Linked DNA regions of Mus musculus: region 1 is reported to be linked to region 2. Evidence: microRNA targets listed by miRTarBase, many of them from high-throughput screens and not tested one by one. Region 2 holds a microRNA gene; the other region holds the end of a gene's coding sequence.
Evidence for each region. The annotated mature microRNA mmu-miR-599 reads UUGUGUCAGUUUAUCAAAC and lies in region 2 at 2,140-2,158, opposite strand. An mRNA with a match to its seed (bases 2 to 7 or 8) in the 3' UTR can be bound and repressed. Matches are read on the target gene's strand: a 7mer-m8 pairs with bases 2 to 8, a 7mer-A1 pairs with bases 2 to 7 and ends in A, and an 8mer does both.

Region 1 (3,544 bases), not on the chromosome of region 2:
GGAGAAGGTGGTCACAAAGGGTTGCCAGGGCTTCCCGGTGTTCCAGGGCTGCTTGGACCCAAAGGAGAACCTGGCATACCTGGGGATCAGGGTCTACAGGGTCCCCCAGGGATTCCAGGGATCGTAGGACCTAGTGGCCCTATTGGACCCCCTGGGATTCCGGGCCCCAAAGGAGAACCAGGCCTCCCAGGGCCCCCTGGGTTCCCTGGTGTAGGGAAGCCAGGAGTAGCAGGACTTCATGGGCCCCCGGGGAAACCTGGTGCCCTTGGGCCTCAAGGCCAGCCTGGCCTTCCTGGACCCCCAGGTCCTCCAGGACCCCCAGGCCCTCCAGCTGTGATGCCTACACCATCACCCCAGGGAGAGTATCTGCCAGATATGGGACTAGGAATTGATGGGGTGAAACCTCCGCATGCCTATGCGGGCAAAAAGGGCAAACACGGAGGGCCAGCCTATGAGATGCCTGCGTTTACTGCCGAGCTGACTGTACCTTTCCCACCGGTGGGGGCCCCAGTGAAGTTTGACAAGCTGCTCTACAACGGCAGACAGAACTACAATCCGCAGACAGGCATCTTCACCTGTGAAGTCCCGGGTGTCTACTACTTTGCTTATCATGTTCACTGCAAGGGAGGCAACGTATGGGTTGCTCTCTTCAAGAACAACGAGCCCATGATGTACACATACGACGAGTACAAGAAGGGCTTTCTGGACCAAGCATCTGGAAGCGCAGTACTGCTTCTCCGTCCCGGAGACCAGGTGTTTCTCCAAATGCCTTCAGAACAGGCTGCTGGACTCTATGCCGGGCAATATGTCCACTCCTCCTTTTCAGGATATTTATTGTATCCCATGTAAAAAAAAGAGAAAAAATAAGAGATTTAATAGAAGAAAAGAAAATGACACACCAAAAAAAAAAATCAATTGAAAACAATGCTTCAAAACATTTATAATAGTTGGAAAGTTATATTTAAGTGAAAGTTTGGACCATCATGTACAAATAAAAACTAAAACGCATGTTTAGTCCTGTGCACAGCAGATTGTAATGGGATCATGGGACCGAGGTATGGATGAAGTACTGACACGTGTGTTGTACCCAGCGGACTCATTAGCTGTTCCATGTTATATGATTTCATAACCTGCTTATTCAAATCAGTCAAAATATCTCAGTCTGGAGCATCATCGCTAATGAACAGTATTCATTCTTTGTGCTCCCTTGTAAAGGTATTTTTGAATATGCCTTAAGAGGTTGATGGTGAGAGTTACATACTGTATTTATTTGCATGCTTTCCTCTCTATTTCATGCAGGTGTTTTACTGTGGGATTTTGGAGGGTTCTTCTGTAGTGCAGGGTCCATGGTAATCTCTAGTCCAAAGGATATTTCTCTGTGTTAGAGGCAATGCTTTGAGCTGCAGGACTACCTAGTCAGAATTGTGTGTGGATGTGTGTGGTGTCCCCAAAAGAAAAGCTATACCAATGGCCCATTGTGTATCTGCTCAGCAGTCTACTTGCCTAGCAACTGGGTGAGATGCAGGGCAGGAGATGCTAGCCTGGGATGCAGGGCAGAGCCCACAGGAGCTCATAGTTTAGCTCAGAGTCATTAAAATATCAACCCATCTAAAGGGTTTCAGTTCGGAATTTTCTGTAACTTTTCTTTTTTCCTTCTTCACCCTTCCACATAATATATAACATAGCCTAAGCAATATAAACAAATCTTTTTTTTACAAAGCCTTCCCTCAAACAACTTTGCCATTTCATGAACATTTATTATTAATAGCAATTATCAGTTGTGTAAAATAAAACAAAAACACTAATGTGTCCACAGAGCCAAGTGTAGTGAGGTTTCACCTTGTCTGCACCTGTCTTAGTAGCTGTCATTTTTTTTTCCCAGTAACTATGAATTTTAAAACTATGACTTATGCCATGAGGTTCCAAAGTCAATTGCCAAAAATCCAAACCATTCTTTTTTTTTTTTAATTTGGGGGAAAAAATCAGAATTACATAGGAAAAATTATATTTTAAAAGAGTAATTATAAGGTTTGATATTCAAAAGCAGGCATGTTGCTTCCAGCAATAGGGACTACGGTTGTAGGAAGATAATTGTTTCTTTAACATCCGCCTGGGGAAGAGATAGCTGGAGTGTCATAAGCCATAGCACCTCAGGCCTACGATGCCACTGCACGCTTAGCACCACAGCCAAACCATGTTGGAAAAGAGAAATTGTTTTTTTTCAGATTCTAATTAAGGCACATAGTAGGTTCTTTGGCTGATGCTCAAAACACGACCAGTTGAACGTTTTCCGTTCATCTGCTCTTGGTTGCTTAGGGGAATAATGTGGAATGAGAGCAATAGAATGTATTCTACTTTTCTCAAAAGTTAAAAACCAGGAGCTGAAGAGAGAGACATAGATTGGAAAATGCACAGATAAATACAGTATAAAGCATGGTCTATTTAAAATCTGAATTATTTTTACCACCACAGTTCTTCTTGCCACGGCTTACTATTGGTCTTTTCCCTTTATGAGGCACAGACACCATTTTTTTCTTGAATTTTTAAAAAAAGAATGTGTTTATTAGCACAAGGTTTTTCATTCATTGTTAATTACACAAGAGCACCTTCGAATCCAAACGAATTTCCTACCAAACCTTCATTTGCAAAGTAAACAGCATGTCTTTGGACAGCTTTCCTTGGGGTCGCTCCTAAGGACACTGGCTTATAGCTGGTCACTATGGAAATCATATGGGTCCCTCGCTCTTTCTGCTCAATAGCTACGTTGAAATGGTCTGGCCAGATGGGTTGTAAAGTTGCTTTTATCTGTACATGTATGGTATTTTAGTTTCCATAAAGAAAGACAGAAATTATCTCTTAAGTTAAACCAAATTTCACTTTTTGAGATATCTTCCAACTTATTTATTGGTTGTTACTCAATTGCCTGCCTCTGTGTGTGTGTGTGTGTGTGTGTGTGTGTGTGTGTGTGTGTGTTATCAGGCATATGCTTCTAAGCTTTTAAATGGAGGAGGAGCAAAAATCTATGCCAGATACTGTATATTCTACCATGGTGCTAATATCAGAGCTAAATGATACTCCATTTAATTTAAAGAAGAGTTTTAAATAATTATCTATGTACCTGTGTTTCCCTTTTGAGTGTTGTCCATCATGTCCACAGTGGTGTGAAAGCAAGTGAATCAAGTATGTGTTCTACTTTCTAGGGACAGTACTATGATCACTTTTTAATACAAAATTAACTAGAGCTTTTCCAAGTGAAATGGACCAAACTGGCATTGTTCTATTTAAACAGAGAGTTTTAATGCAGTATGACGTCCCACAGGGGAAAGGAATGTCTGTAGAGGACAGTTGTCCTCAAATATTTTACAGAAACAAAGAATGATGAAAAGACCGGTAACTTGCTTGAGTTCCCATGAATAGATTTGAGACTGAATGGCAAATCAATTTTGTATTTAAATTTTTTGTACTGATTTGAAAAACAGATCATTAAATATCTCTAAAAATATGTTTCCTGCCTTGTTCATAACATTCAACTGACGCTATTTGA
Region 2 (3,000 bases):
CAGAAACTTAGAATACCCAAGATATAAGATACAATTTGCTAAATGCATGAAACTCAAGAAGAACGAAGACCAAAGTGTGGACACTTTGCCCCTTCTTAGAATTGGGAACAAAACACCCATGGAAGGAGTTACAGAGACAAAGTTTGGAGCTGAGACGAAAGGATGGACCATCTAGAGACTGCCATATCCGGGGATACATCCCATAATCAGCTTCCAAATGCTGACACCATTGCATACACTAATAAGATTTTGCTGAAAGGACCCAGATATAGCTGTCTCTTGTGAGACTATGCCAGGGCCTAGCAACACAGAAGTGGATGCTCACAGTCACCTATTGGATGGATCACAAGGCCCCCAGTGGAGGAGCTAGAGAAAGTACCCAAGGAGCTGAAGGGATCTGCAACCCTATAGGTGGAACAACAATATGAACTAACCAGTACCCCCTAGAGCTCGTGTCTCTAGCTGCATATGTATCAGAAGATGGCCTAGTTGGCCATCAGTGGAAAGAGAGGCCCATTGGTCGTGCAAACTTTATATGCCTCAGTACAGGGGAATGCCAGGGCCAAGAAGTGGGAGTGGATGGGTGGGGGAGTGAGTGGGGGAGGGTGTGGGGGACTTTTGGGATAGCATTGGAAATGTAAATGAAATGAATACCTAATTTAAAAAAAAGAAAACAGGTTAAATAGACCTTAAAATAATTTTAAACCTTTAAATCTCCATAATACTTGGCATATAATGCTTGTGTACCATGGCTACTGACATGCAAGACACAAAAATGGTAAAATAGTGTTATGTTTTCTTAAATGCCTATTATAAAATAATTGAATGTTATAATTAAATAGTATTCTGTATGTTTGTTTCCTATATGTGTTCATTGATGAAAGGATGGGTACATGATACATCATACATTCCCTGTTTTTAAAATATCTTTTTAGTGAACTTGTAAATGTGAGATGCTGTAAAGGCCACTTATTTACTGTTTTAGCCTGTATTGACTAGTGTCCACTTACAGCCACAGCCTAACATCTTTACCACAGAGAAGCTAATTAGGTGTCAAATTAAGAAGCAAGGACCATACACATATTCACTACATATGCATAGTAAATTACCTGTATATATCACGTATGAACATCTGGTGAGCAGCAGTGAGGTGGCATGCAGACTTAGAAAGTGTCATTCCCCTGCCCCAGCAATGAACAGTTCTCCTCTGCAGGGTCAGTGTGAAGGACAACTTCCTTCCCACGCATGCTTCTCTTTCTTTATTACAGTGTGCACTGTCATTAGTGTCGTAGGTTAAATAGTTTTTTTATGCACTTAGAAAGGCTTATCCTTTGTTTAGAAGCTGTTTATCCCCTTCATTGAAACCATTCCTTAATCTGATGTTTTTGTTCTGTAATTTCTAACCCTGAACTTTGATAAGGTTAAGATACCAGAAAAGTAGTTCATGTTGGCAAAAGTACTAAGGAACACAGCCCTGATTATCAAGGTAGGTAAAAATGGCCATAGAATGTTTTCTTCTTATTTGTCCTTGTTTCATTCTTGAAGTGATAGTTCCCACAGGAGAAATACTAATTGCTTAAACATAGCCACATTAACACTTCCCCCAGACCCCTGCAGCCTTCACTTCTGCCCATAGTAGCCTATATGTCAAAGATTAACACTGTTCTACCCTTTATGACTATTGGTAACTTTCAAGAAAACTAAATGCTAATTTCAGTTTTTAATTTGTGAATGCTCTTTCCTTAACCTGTGTTTGCCACCTATAAATTTTCTTGTCGAGGATTCTGAACCAAAGCAATACAATAATCGAAAAATATAAAAGTCAATAATTTTGAGCAAAGTCAAAGCATAATTTTAACATAAATTCCTCATATTTTATTATCAGGTAATACATATTTATCCTTAGTGCTATTTTCACCCAAATCCCCTAGCATACCAGTAAACCTTAATAACTGTGGTTATAACTTTAGCAGTGCAACCGTTTCTATCCATATTATTTAAGGCTTTAGTCATTTAGTGAAACTGTCGTATATTTATGCCTTTGGCATTTAGAGAGCACAGAGCTCTTCTACAGGAAATAATGCTTTGAATTCTGGGACTGGTTTTCCTTCCATTGAATTGCTTGTCATCCAGGTATGGGTTTGATAAACTGACACAAAGGTGAAAGAAGTTCCTCTCCTATGTCATCTTATCAAATACACTGTGGACAGCACATCTTTGTGGTGAGTACAGCTGCAGTCACTCAAGGAATCCATGAAGCTTATGCTCAGTGAAACATAGCCTCAGTATTTTCAGGTGATTTTAATGAACACCTGATAAAACTGAGGTATAGTACCACAGAACTGGGAATTTCCCCAAACCTAGGAAAAATAAACAAATGCACAGGGTTATAGGATGGAAGCACCCCTTGTTCATCTTAGTGGCAGAAGAGACATTAATGAAAGAGATAATTCTTTAATTTGCTTTCATTCTGGTAAACATTGTCAAGTTACATTATAAACATACTTGAATTTTAAAATAAGAAAAATGGAATAGAATTGATTTTATATATACTTTCCTATTTTGCATAACATTAGATAGTCTGAATTTTTGCTTTTATCTGGATTCATATTTGTTTAATTTCAATTATTTTATTTGAAAATACATCCTCAGAAGTGTAGTATTTTTTAAAAACAAACAAAAAAGCCTAACAGTACACCAGAATCATTTGTATACTGTCCAGGTTCAAGAATTGTCATGTGAGAAAGATATTTTCTGAAATTTATTCTTGCACTAAAAGTATATAATTCAGGCTCAGGTCAAAAGCTGATTCTATTAATCCAAAGTAACATTGTTAAATCTTTTCAATTTTGGATGAATTTACCTGCTATATACAATATGGAAACACAACTTTGGCGATTCCTTCTATTTTTTTTTTTTTTTAAGTCTTTGCAGAGTAAATGGCATCATACAATTCCAGTACCTTCTCAGTGTGGCTGCAGGGCTGTGTGGACACGGGAG

Region 1: the mRNA of Col8a1 is a reported target of mmu-miR-599. Seed matches in the 3' UTR shown: 7mer-m8 at 892-898.

Annotation. Positions count from the first base shown.
Region 1 is chr16:57,624,216-57,627,759 of GRCm38, reverse strand. It overlaps Col8a1 (collagen, type VIII, alpha 1), which reads left to right. Exons shown (of 4, transcript NM_007739.2): 4 at 1-3,504. The coding sequence ends at 849. Among named protein-coding and RNA genes, the nearest start is that of Gm51269, 15 kb to the right of the region's middle.
Region 2 is chr15:35,658,707-35,661,706 of GRCm38, forward strand. Mir599 (microRNA 599) reads right to left here and starts at 2,212; the gene lies at 2,125-2,212. The region is part of intron 30 of Vps13b (vacuolar protein sorting 13B); the gene reads left to right. It overlaps Mir875 (microRNA 875), which reads right to left and starts at 2,341; the gene lies at 2,264-2,341.